3 linked regions of the Canis lupus familiaris genome follow. The protein of the gene in region 2 interacts with the protein of the main gene of each other region in a pairwise test. Links are inferred from orthologs where the notes say so. Each region holds a gene or a part of one and is shown on either strand. Other genes may lie near its edges.

Region 1 (4,209 bases), about 39 Mb from region 2:
CTTAGGAATATCAGGGCCTGATCCACCCCTCACTTCTGCACCAGCAACTACAAGTGCTCAGGGAGGTCTTGGCAACAAACAGAAAGAAACACTGTTGGGTCTGGTGCTATCAGCCTGCACAGCATCACATCCTCCCCATAGAGGCCCGGAAATCACCCACCAGGCCCCTAGGCCACCTCCTATTCCTCTGGGGCAGGAAGAGGAAGTGAATGTAAGGTCACTCTCTCTTCCCTAAGCTTGGGGCAGCCCCCTCCAGGAAGCCCTCCCGGGAGCCTCCTGGCACCCTAAGGTCCAGCAGGGCTTGGGGAAGGGCCTGATCTCTGGCCTGTCCACCACAATCCACAGTGGGGAGAGAGGAAGAGGAACACATGTGGGCAGCCCTGACCTCACCCTGTACACACCTTATTTTCACAGAATGTATGCACTAGTCCCAAGATGTAGAGAGAAGGTGCAGGGCACAAGGAGCAGACTCCAGCTCCCTGGAAAGCCCTTCCCTCTCCACATTCTCGCTTTGGGAGCCTCTCCTGTCATGCAGGAATGAGTGCTTAGAGTCCGCCCTCAGTCTCTTCTACTACACCTTGAATAAGCAGCCCTTTTGTCCTTAGAAGAAGTGAGGGAAGTGGGATGCCCATTGCTCAGAATGCCACACCCACACCCTCCCTTCTGCCAAGGGAAGGATGAAGCCTGCCCGGGGTCAGGGCAGATAAAGGGACAGAGTGGCTTAAGGCTCAGAACAAAACTGCCCCCCCCCCCCCCCCGCCCCTTCCCTCTGCTACAAATAGCTTCCTAAGCTGGATTCAGGGCTGGTAATCCAGGAAGAACAAACCTCAGACCTGTGTGATTAGGGTCAAAAGAGACCAGGGGGTGCCAGGATGGAGATCCCTGGAACCCAGGTCTCAGCTTCTATAGAGGAAAGGTTCCCATGAAGCCCCTTCCCCCACTCATCTCCCACAGATGCCCCATCTCTAAGGACTACGGATTTCCTCCAAATTAGGAGACACATGGCAGTACATGGGCTGGAAGCCCCTACAGTTACAAAATAGTCTCTAAAGTTACCTAAGACCCAGACAGGTCAGCTTGACCTCTAAACATCCTATAAGTTCTGCCCTCATTCTAAATGCTGCCATTGCCAGTTATAGCTCAATTGGCACTACCATCAAACTGGTCCAGGACCCCTCCCTCTACTAGTGTCTGCTTGGGCGAGGCAGTTCAGTGTTCTGGGGGCCCCGCCAAGAATGGCTGCTGCCTGGCTCAGAGAGGAGAAGCTGGTCCCCCAGGGACCCAGATGCACAGGCCTAGACCTGCCATTACAGTCCCCTCCACTGCTGTCTGGCAGCCTTGGGCTCTGCTGCTCCTGCAGCTCCAGAGCTCAGGTCTGCTCCAGCACCTGCCCCCTTCCACCAAAGAGGGGTCTCAACAGTGCTCTCACAGAGGGGCCAGTGCAGGATTCTGATAAATGAAACTACATTGGAGGACCACTCTCTCTCCAAATGCCTGTTTTTGAGGCTCAGCCACTGCCTCTGCCATGAGGCTTCGTAGCCCTTGTTCTCTGCCTGGCAACCTCCTCCCTTGTCCTGAATGCCCAGTTATCTGCCTCCAGGCAGCAGCCATAAGCAGTCCTGTGGGGCCTTCAGTACTATTGACAAAAGAGCCCTATTTACAGAGCATGCACAGCATGCGAGGCACTATGCAAAATCGGAAAATTAGTTTTCACAACAGCCCTATATAATAGGTGCCATTATCCCCCATTTTACAGATGAACATGCTCAGAGGTGAAATTACTCACCCAAGGTCACACTGCCAATTACATGGCATAGCTGGGACTTCAACCCAGGCAGTTCAGCTCAGAAACTTAACCACAGTGGGAGACTAGGCCTCCCGGAAGAAGACAGGTTAAGGGGGATGGAGGGCATTAACCTACTCCCTTGAGAGGGCCCAGAGCCAACCCACTGAGGTTTCCTGCCCAGTCCTTTCCTGGGGTTGGAGGATGGCCCCAGACTCTCTGGGTAATCTGGAGTGACGGCATTTAATGATCAGGGCGACTGGAGGGTCTTAAGGTCACCTAAGTAGCTCAGCCTCCTCCTAGCCTCCAGGGTGAGGACTGAGGACAGAATACACTCAGCATCCATCCTCATTATTGCAGAGAAAAGCCTCAAAGGGCTCGGAAGACTCTATGAGGAAGGGGTCACAGTTGCAGCTGCTGCCTCACCTCCACCATGGGAAAGGGGGATGGCCTCCTCAGAAAGATAGGAGTAGGGTGAAAATAAATATCTAAAGGGAGAAAAGGCGGGTACAAGGAGATCTCAGGCTGGAAGGCAGAAGGGTAGGGGATTCAAGCGAGGGGTACCCGGGTGGGGGAGGGGAGGCGGGAGTGGGGGGTAGGGCGGGAAAGGGGGCGGGGGCCCAGGCTCAGCGCACGGCGCACAGCGAGTGCCCCCTCCCGCGCGCTCTCCCTCCCGCCCTCCCGCCGCGGGCGGCGCTGCCTCGCCAGTGCTCACCGCCCGTGATCCGCTGCAGCCCCAGCACGTCCTCTGGCCCGATCCGCTGCTTCCTCTGCAGCGGCCCCGGCCTGGGCCCCGGGCCAGCCTCCGGCTCTGACTCGGACCCGGACTCGGATTCCGCCTGCAGCTGCGGCTCGGGCTTGGGCTCCACGCTCGGGCCAGGGGCCCCAGAAGCGGGCTCCGCCCCCGTCCCAGCCCCACCGCCGCCCTTTTTCACCTTCATGGCCTCGCGGGGCCACCGCTCGCTTGCTGCCGCGGCAGCTGCCTGCGCCGGCTGGAGCCGAGAGAAGGGGGAGCGTCCGCAGCCCCGCCCCCGGCCAGGGCCCCAGGTACCGCCCCGCCCCCGGGGGTGGGCCAGGCACGGGCCCCGCCCACCCCTGCGAACGCCAACCTGGGTCCACTCCCCCGGGGCCGGGTGGGGCCTCGCTTTGGGCTTCATTCATTTTTTCCGCTAGGTCCTGCTAGGTCCTTGAAGGGATCACTACCTCTCTTCCTTACTCGCGCCACTCTGTCCTTCTGTCTGCCCCTCAAGCAAGTTCCCGCCTCAGGATCTTTGCCTGGGATGTGCTTCCCCCAGATGGCTTCCTCTTCTGGTCTCAGTTCAAATGTCATTTGCTCAAAGGCCCCCCTCACACCCAATCTAAAGTACTACCCCTCAGTCACTGTCTGATCAGCCTGTTTTTTCCTTCTAATGCATTATCTGAAATTAATTTTACTTGTTCACTGACTCTTTCCCCAAAAGATCAGTTCCATGAAAGTAGAGATCCTGTCTTTGTTCTCTATAATACCTAGCATTTAACACAGTGGCTACTGCAGCCTGTGCTTAACATATTCTTTTTCTGAGTTTATGAATGAGTATTTGAGGGCTTACACTGGTACAAGCTATTGTCTTCCAGACCTCCTGCGAAAAAAAGCAGTATATGCTAACAGCTTTGTTGTGAAACCCTGGACATGCTGAGGGACAACAGCCTAGGCACTTCACTACAGGGCCCACAGGGCAGAGAGGCACAGCCTCCTTGTAGGGCGCATGGCCAGGTGGAAGCAAGGTAGACCTGTGAGTCCAGGTCAGATACTAGGAAACCATTACTTAGACACAAATGAAGAATGAAAGGTTTGCTCATACTTCATATCATTTCAATTCAGTCAACCAATGTTTATTGAGAGCTTACCATGTGCCAGACACTTTCATATGTTTATCACATTTAATCCTCATAACCACCTTGTGAGATATCATTGGTGCTATTTTAACAAGTGAAAAACTGAGGCTCAGGGAGATTAAGAGGCTTATCCAATGCTCCCCAGATGATAAGTGCAGAAGGTACAGAAACATCTGAATTCAGGCATGCTCGATCCCAAGTCTGAAACCTTCTCCACTGCACCACACTACTTCTATAAAAGGGTGAAGGGAAACTCTGCCACATGCGCAGCATCAGGCTACACCCAGTAGGCACAGCCAGCCAGGAGGGAGGGGAGGAAGGGAGAAGGTCCCAGGGGTGACCTGCTCCCTTCCGTGAGAGCAGTGCTAAGGTTCTCCCTGAGGGGTTGGAGAGAAGCATGGAGGGGAAGGGGCTAGAATCTGACCCAGGGCTTTCCCCTAATGCTCCCTCTGAGTGCAAGAGGACTGCAAGGAACAGGACAGAAGCACAACAAACTGTCCCTGCCCTGGAGGGAGACAGGGGAGGGCCTTCAATTTCAAGCCAGATAAGAC
Region 2 (4,200 bases):
GATGCCAAGACCCTGGGATCACGATCTGAGCCAAAAGCAGACGTTTAACCAACTGAGCCATCCAGGTACCCCTGGGGGCTGGTACTTTCCAAAGGCTCAGCAGCCTGTAGCTGTATTTAGAAAAAATAAAATACAACCACTGCTCAGTTATTATCTTGCTATAAGTCTACTCCAAGATCTGGCAAGAGCAGGAGATGGTATTTCCTGCATTTTAAATTCCCCTTTCCCACCCCAAGCCAGAGAAAACCAGAGGGTGGGCAAGGGCAGCATCTCTGGAGCCCTGTCACTCCCGCCAAGGGCTGAGTCACAGCCATGGCCCGTCTCAGCTTCTGTGGCCCAAGTGAGAGGGCATGTGTGCGGCTCCGGCCAAGTTCAGACATGCCCCTGATCTGACTTATCACTGCGTAATGCGGCCTCCTCTGCTCGCACTGCCCTCCCTGGATGTGCCCCTGGCCAGTGCAGCAGAAGCAGACACATGTTTTAGGGAAGAAGTAACTGCAAGACCTAAATGACCTGCATAGGGCAGCACGGCAGAAAGCACCAGTCACTCACATCCTGATGCTTTAACTCCAATTCCTAGACACTATCCACCCACCACCCGCCCGGCTTCAGAAACCCCACATTCCCACCCCAAAGCCACACACGGGGCAGTCCTGAGGCTGCAAGCCCTCCCTGTGGCACAGCGTGGCTCTGCCGCTGGCGGCTCGGGCGGACAAGTCCAAAAGAGGTAACATCTCAGGCTCAGAAATCTGCAGCCAAGGAACAGGCAAGAGTAAAACTAAACTCAACCTCTCATTCCCGACCTCAGGTTGCAGACTGAAACGTGTGCAGGGCACAGGCAGATAAACACAAAACTGGGAAGCATGAAGGCCACAAGACAACAGAGTCAACCAAGATAAAACAACTGAAAAGCTAAATGAAAAGCAACATGCACGCTAAACAAAACCAGTTTGCAACAGCACAGATGTAAGCTCGGCACTATTGACCATCGGGGCAGGGTCAGTATTTGTTGTGGGGGCCGTCCTGTGCACTGGGAATTCAGGAGCATCCCTGGCCTCTCCCCACTGGATGCCCATAGCATGCCCTCCCCTACTCCAGCTGTGAAGACTACAGATGTCTCCAGACATTGCCAAATGGACTCTGAGGGAGCGAGAGGGGGAACAAAATCTCCCTTTGTGAAGAACACCGGGCCAGAACTCTGTGAGAGGCCAAGTCCTAAGATCCCTTGCCAAGCGACCTTGAGAGTTTGCTGAGTTGCACGTTTCCATGCCGCCCACCGGCATGGCTAACCAGTCCTGCTGAAGAGCGCTCTGACAGTATGGCCTATGCCCTTGCGCATTTTCACCAGGTTTCCGGAAGAAGTGCTGGGACAGGACAGGAGAGAACAGGGACTGACCGGTCATGCGTGGAGAAGCTGTTGCTGTACCGCGTGTCTTTGGCATACTTGATCACCAAGCACTTGTACTGGGCAATCTGGAAGCGACGGACCCTTCTCATCAGCTCGGTACTGCAAGAGCAGAGCACTAGGTGAGACCCAGGATGTTAAGGAAGTCCCCATTAGCACAAGTGGGGCTCCCCCCCCACCCCTGCTGGGGGTCTACAGCCTGAGACCCACCAATGGACAGAAAAACCAGAGAGGACAGAGGGTGGTGATGGCAAGGAACAGAGGTCAGGTGGTCTGGGGAGGGGGTGGGAGAATAAATGTCTCAGGGATCTGATGGGGTGAGTAGAGTCAAAGGCCTCCGACAGAGAAGAGGGGTCTGGATTGCATCCCCAAAGAGTCCCATCCCAGAGGTCTTCACATGGTCTGCATTGACTTCGCAGTCTTTTGTTGTTGTTGTTCAAGAAAAAAAAGCAGTTACCTCTGGGTCCCAGAGCCCACCCTGGCCTGACTGTGGTGGGCACCAGGTTTGCCCTGCAGTGACCCCCCCCAGGGCAGAGGGCGTCACTCAGGGGGCCGACTAGCCCTGCCTGGGTCAGGCCACCGTCCTGTCACATCAGGGGAGCAAAGGCATCCTGGCCTGACTCCTTAGTGTGTAAACTACTTAAGGAAACAAACACTAGGAAGGGAAGGAGGAGTGTGGATGCTGCAGGGTGCACAGGACCCAGCTCACCGAGGACACCATTTTAGAAGAATTAAAATTTTAAATTGAAAAAAAAAAAACCAAAACGAAACGAAAAGACTTGGCTGCTCCTTTCCAAGAGAGATTTAGTGGGAGGGTGGGGGGAGGGAGGACTACACCCTCAGCAGCCATAACCTGCTGCAGGGGGGCGACGTGGTGCCATGACCCCATGGAAGGGTCTGAACCCCGCGGGCAGGGAAGAGGCGCCCTCCTGCAGGACCGCATGGGGCGGGAACGCGTGCTCGGTCCGGGGGAGGGGTCGTCCTGCAGGGGGGCACTGAGAGGGGCAGCAGGGGAGGAGGACGGGCCCCCGGAAGGGAGGGGGGAGAAGGCCGTCCCCGCGAGGACATTACTTATTTACCTTTTTCCTGAGAACATGGGTCCTAGAATCACCTAGGAGAGAAGGAGAGGTCACTTCGGGGCCCGCTGCGCACGGACTGCAGGCCAGGGCCACAACCCCAACCCCAACCCCAACCCGCACCCGGGTCGCGACCCCGGCCCGCCACCCGCGCCCGCCGGGGTGCCACCCCCGCGCCGGCACCTGGATCTGCCCCCGGGTCTTGCTGGGGGAGCCGGGCAGCACGGTGGGCAGGTTGATGCAGCTCATGGCGCCTGCACGAAGCCCGCCGCTCGGGAGCCCTCGGGTGCCACCGCCCAGCAGCCTGACCCGGGTGCCCCCGCCGCCGGCCTTTATCCCGGGCGCGCTGGCCAATCGGGAGCCGGCGCGGGCGCCCCGCAGCCAATCAGCGCGCGGCCGCGGACTGGCGGGAGATTCGAGCGCGGCCCGCCCCTCGTGGGCGGCCCCGGGGACCCGGCGGGCTCGCGTCACCTGGACGGTCGGCCCCGCCCCGGCCGCCGCCTCTAAAGGGCCTCTAAAGGGCCGGGGCGCGCCCTCTGGCCGGCCGCGGCGGGATGGAGGGCCCGGCGCCCTGGAAGCGGCTGTCCAAGGAGGTAGGCGGGTTGCGCCGAGCGGGGCGCGCGGGGCCTAGAGGCCGTTCCCCTCGGGGAGGCGAGCTTAGAGACCCAGAGCCCAGCCCCCCAGGGCGCCGGCGGCCCCTGTGCGCCGCTCCCAAAGCCCTAGCGCCGGCATCTCCTTTGCTTCTGGCCACAGGCAGGCTTCGGGGCGCCTGGTCTTCAGGGTAGAGAAAACAGGCTGTGCTAATATCCATAAAGGAGGCACAGTCCCGACACTGAGGTCCCACAACGTGGATGGAGGATGTGCCGGGGTGAAGGATTCGGAAAGGCCGGCGTTCACCGCAGGACAGGCAAAGCACTTACTAGGGTTATCACTCAACTATGATTTCCTAACTAGTTTCCCTGCATTTCAGGCTGTATTTTGGGTTGGTTTGGGTTGGTTTATTTGTTTTCCGGTCACGGATACATGTGAGAATCTGATAAGTTATGCATTCTGCCCCCGCCCCCCCCCAAGAAAACCCCGTTCTCTCTGTGTCAGAAACCCATTGCATTATTGTTATTGTACATAACGACAGGGAAGATGACGGTAGCAGTGACAGCGTGTGCCGCTATGTGCCGCAGGCACAGATTGTACAGGATCTAAAGAACGCTGGTCAGGCACCTCGTTCAACGGGAGGGGGCCATAACCCACATTTGAATGGTTAGTTTTACTTCATTTACATGCTTTATGTCCTTCAACCTTGTGATGCTACTATTATGCCCATTATGTAGATGGGGCTGAGGCCCAGAGAGCATAAGTAAGCTGCCCAGGGTAAAACAGCCTGTAAGGGATAGAACATGGATGGCATTCAACCCATCTGACACCAGAGCCCAGGACCCTTCCATGAAGCCACCCCGTCTTAAAATTTCCCATTTTAGGCTTCACTCTTTCTCCTTGCCTTTGAGCTCTTTCTCCCAAACCTGGTTCCTTGCTACTCTCTGCATTAATTCTGTGTCTTAGCCTGACATCTGAGATCCTCTCCCCGTAGTCCCTCCTTCCACCTCACCTCTGTGTCTCGGTGGTCTGACTCACCAGCATTTCCAAACTGACCTTTGATTCCTCTCTCCTGACCTTTGTTTCTTTGCCGTGACTCCTGCAATCAGAATCCCGCCCTCTCATGGG
Region 3 (4,040 bases), on a different chromosome or scaffold from region 2:
CGTTGATGACCGGAATTTGCCAGTCTCGGGTCCCATGCCGCCCCCATTCCCTTCCTCAGCGTGGTTAAGTCCTGGGTTCCGCACCAGGACGTCCCCGGGGGTCAGTCTGGGCAGGAAAGCTCCAGAGCTGGGGACGAGACCACGTGCGTATCGGGGGAGGGGCACCGGCCCGCGATTGGCCACACAGATCGCTGCTCCCATGCAGACTTCCCGGGTACAAAGCGCCGCAGTCGCGGGGCCTCCGGCCTCAGCAAAGGCTGCGCCTGCGCCGCAGAAACTCCTCCTCCCTCACCGGGAGAGAGCTTTCTGGGCGGGGGGAGGACCCCCGCTCCCGCCCCCACCCCACCCCCCGCCCCGTGCCCTCTGCAAAGCTCTGGAGCCGCGAAGCCCGCCCCGGAACCCGAGCCCCGTGGCCGCTTGGTCCGCAGAAAGTAAAAGGCTTCCCCTTGGGAGACCGTGAGCCCCTCGTGTCCGCAGTCCCAAACCTCCAGAGCTTCCGGAGCCCTAGGCGCGCCGCAGGCGCCGCCTTTTGTCCAGTCCCCGGGAAGCCATGGAGAAAGGGAAGAGAGGGCCAGAAGGGGAGAGGGAAGAGTGGAAGAGGTGAAGCGACCACCGCCCCCAAGTGCCTAGGCGCGGCTGCGGAGCCGTCGCAGGCAGAGCCGGGGGCGATGCTGGCTCCGGGGCCGCTGGCCGTAGCTCCGGCAGGGACGCACTTCCAGACAGCTTCCCGACGTGCACAAAGCGCTCTCGCCTCCCTGATCCTCCACCACGCCTTGTGGGTGGCTGGGAGGAAAATGCCATCCCCATTTCACAGGTGGAGAAGCTGAGGTTCAAGAGGGCAAAGGGCCTCGGCTGGAAACAGGGGTTACCGGTACCGACCCGGGCATCTGGATCCGCAGCCCTGAAGTCTCCCGCTCGCGCTCAGAAGCCTGAACCCCAAACAGGGTCGACCACGAGGGAAGCAAGTGGTCAGGGAGAATAAGAAGGGGTAGGGACAAGGAGATGACTCCCGATAGCCCCCTCCCTTGACCTCCCCCCACCCCCACCGCCATCAGTGTAGACCTCCCCCTCTCAGGGCGCCGACTTCAGGACCACGGAGAGTTCCCGAGCTCCGGGGGCGGAAGGCCGAGAGCCCGAGGATGGGAGCAGGAGATCCCGTACTGCGTCCAAGCAGCCGCAGGCCGGCCCAGCCCCCACTCCTCCAGGAAGCCCTCCCAGATTTCCGTCTGGATCGAGCTCTGCTTCCTCCCGCTCACTTTATGCCTCTCATAGTATTTAAGGGGAGAAGGGGCAATAAAAAATGATAGTAAAATCCAACAACGAACATTTATTGCTCACTGAGTACCGGCATTAACTGATTTGATTCTCACCATGAATCTATCGCCCACCCTGGCCTGGGGTGGGGCCAGTGTGCTGAGTCGGGACCCCAGCATGTACTGGGGGGAGGGGGGGAGCTGGGACCTGAGCAGTGCTCAGACTTCGAGTTCTGGGCTAAGCTGACAGCTCGCTGGTCCTCAAGTGCTCCAACTTCCGTTGTTCTAGCATCTGACCCCGACCCTTACGCACACATCCCAAAGCTGTGCTGTCTACCCATCCATCTTCGTCCAATTCCCTGGCGACCTCTAGCTTAAGGGAGAAGAGCCATAGGGCCCACGGCCTGGCATTCCCTCTCTCTGACGCCCCTTCACTTTCGGAGGGTAAAAACCTCCAAGTCTAGGAAGCTGGAGAGCCGGGTTCAAGTCTCCGCTCTGCCTCCAACTTGCTCTGTGAAGGGAGCCCACTGGCGTCGTGCTGGGCGACTCAGCAGCATCCCCTGAAAATGTCGGTGCCTGGGGATAGCAGTTTCTAGTTCTATGTGCCCGACCCATCCAAATCTTTAAGCAAATCTTTCCCCCCAGAAAGCACAGAGGGAGCACACAGGAAAGGCTTCTTTGAGCATTAACCTGTGTGACCACAGGCGGTTCACTGAACCTTTTCCAGAGCCTGGTACACCGTAGGGGCTCTATAATCACTAATGAGTGAGTGAATAAATGAATGGACTAATGCGGAAAGCAGTTCCCCTTCTTTTCAAAAGGCAAAGAACGGGGCTCCTTGGATTAAACTTCACCCCAGAGGTCCCCTCGCTTTGAAGGGTCCATGTGGCAGCTGTAGCCAACTTACTTTCCTGCTCAGAGCCTTGCTCCCCCTTTCTGCAGAAGAGCAGCAGGGGGCTGGATCGCGAAGGACCCTTTGGAGTCTCCCGGGCTGGGCTGACCAACCCCGACCAAATGGTAGCCCCGCTCGGGCCCTCCAGTGGGATGGAGCGGGGGAGGGGCCTTCCGCGGCCCTCTCGAGCCCGAGGGCAGCGGCCCGGGCGTCCCCGAGGGTCCCGCCCCCCCCCCCCCCCGCCGGTCGGCGCGCGCCCTGAGGGTACCTGGCCATTGTCCCGGCCGAGCGGCAGGTCGCGGGGCGCGGGGCAACGGATGCGCAGCGCGGGCGGTCGCTCCTCGCGCTCGCCCGGCGAGCTGACTGCCGAGCCCGAGAGCTCGCTCCCGTCGCTGGCCGTGTCCTCGCTGCCGCCGGGCCCCGGCAGCCCCACGGCGTCGGGCCGGCCAGCGCTGCGAGGCGTGCGCGCCGAGCCGCGGCGGCCCACGCTGTAGGCGTCGAAGTCGATGGTCTTGTTCTCGTAGGCTCCCTCCACCGCCGCGAACATGCCGCCGTACTTCTGGCGAGGCGTCTGCGCCGCGCTGCCCGGCCGCGCCAGGTACACGGGCAGGTCGTCCTCCGTGTTCCACGCGCGCCGCCGGTCCGCCATGCCGCTGCGAGGCCGCCCGCCCGCCCGCCGCCCGCCCGCCGCCCGCCGCCCTGGCCACCGCCGTGCGCCGCGCTCCCCGCTCGCTGCGGGCCCGCGGCGGCCCCGGCGACTGCGGCCCGGGGAGGGGCGGGGCGGGCGGGGCGGGGCGGGGCGGGGCGCGGGGCGGGGCGGGGCGGGGCGGGGCCTCCGGGCGGCGGCGAGCGCGCGGGGCGGCCGGCTACAAAGGGCCGGGGGGCGGGGCGGGCGGCGGGGGCGGGGCGGGGCGGGCCGGTGACGCGCCGGAGCCGCAGCGCCGGGGGCGGGCAGCCGAGCCGCAGTGCCCTGGCCACACCCCCGCTCCCCGCCCCCAGCCCGAGCGCGGGGCGCGCGGAGGGCGAGGAGTGCGAGCCTCGAGTGTGCACACGCACACACACACACCCCCAGGCACGCACAGGTTCGCACCAGCACGCCAGACAAGTACGCCATAACACACGTGAGAAATGCACCAACACGCTAGCGCGCGCGCACACACGCACACGGGAGTCGATTACACTCAGGCTTCCCAGGCACACGCAGGCTCATTCAGTCACATGGTAGACACTTTTGCACACACGTACAAGCTTGTATGTATTATGAGCCAATTACACACACCCACGCCAGAAGTTCTCATAGTCCCCCCAACCCCACCAATCCAGCATCACACCGAAATTAATCGCACAACCGGAGAAACACTCACACGTTGCACGCAGCAACCATTCAGTCAACAGTGTTATATTGAGCGCCCGCTGGTGCCCAGCACGCTGTGGGTACTGGGGACAGTGCTGTGAACAAAATAACACCAAGTCCTGCCCTCCGGGAGCTGACATTCTGAGGAGGGAGGAAACAAACACATGTATGATGTACCCGGCGTGCTGAGTGCTGGGAAAGATGAGACAGCAAGGCAAGAGGGACATGCCAGGACCACAGTCACTCAGGCAGACAAGAGAAATACACCCCTGCACGCCAACGAATGACACACACACACACACACACACACACACACACCGTGCTTGCTCCTACAACACTCACGCAACAGAGAGATTGTCACACACTCCTATCAAAGGTAAACTCACAGGGTGACTCCACGCAGATGCACTGGCAAACCCAGTCAGGATACCCACGTGGAAATGCACACCAGAAATCAGGAGAGTCTGAAGCTTAAATAGGAACACTCCAGAGAAAAACACACAGAGACAGATGAACACATAGGTACACACTTGTCAGTCAC

The links. The genes of interacting proteins can lie anywhere in the genome.
Region 1: the proteins of TK1 (region 2) and UNC119 interact in a two-hybrid assay, tested with the Homo sapiens proteins (2 studies listed by BioGRID and IntAct). The link is inferred for Canis lupus familiaris from reciprocal best matches to the Homo sapiens genes TK1 and UNC119.
Region 3: the proteins of TK1 (region 2) and CRMP1 interact in a two-hybrid assay, tested with the Homo sapiens proteins (2 studies listed by BioGRID and IntAct). The link is inferred for Canis lupus familiaris from reciprocal best matches to the Homo sapiens genes TK1 and CRMP1.

What each region holds. Positions count from the first base shown.
Region 1 is NC_049230.1:42,729,470-42,733,678, forward strand, and holds the start of UNC119 (protein unc-119 homolog A), read right to left. Parts: upstream 2,801-4,209; 5' UTR 2,725-2,800; coding exon 2,499-2,724; intron 1-2,498. UniProt on the Homo sapiens protein: Involved in synaptic functions in photoreceptor cells, the signal transduction in immune cells as a Src family kinase activator, endosome recycling, the uptake of bacteria and endocytosis, protein trafficking in sensory neurons and as lipid-binding chaperone with specificity for a diverse subset of myristoylated proteins.
Region 2 is NC_049230.1:3,864,610-3,868,809, reverse strand, and holds the start of TK1 (thymidine kinase, cytosolic), read right to left. Parts: upstream 2,801-4,200; 5' UTR 2,731-2,800; coding exon 2,665-2,730; intron 2,517-2,664; coding exon 2,485-2,516; intron 1,508-2,484; coding exon 1,397-1,507; intron 1-1,396. UniProt on the Homo sapiens protein: Cell-cycle-regulated enzyme of importance in nucleotide metabolism. Catalyzes the first enzymatic step in the salvage pathway converting thymidine into thymidine monophosphate.
Region 3 is NC_049224.1:71,649,435-71,653,474, forward strand, and holds the start of CRMP1 (dihydropyrimidinase-related protein 1), read right to left. Parts: upstream 2,801-4,040; 5' UTR 2,795-2,800; coding exon 2,414-2,794; intron 1,300-2,413; exon of another isoform or gene 1,076-1,299; intron 989-1,075; exon of another isoform or gene 815-988; intron 1-814.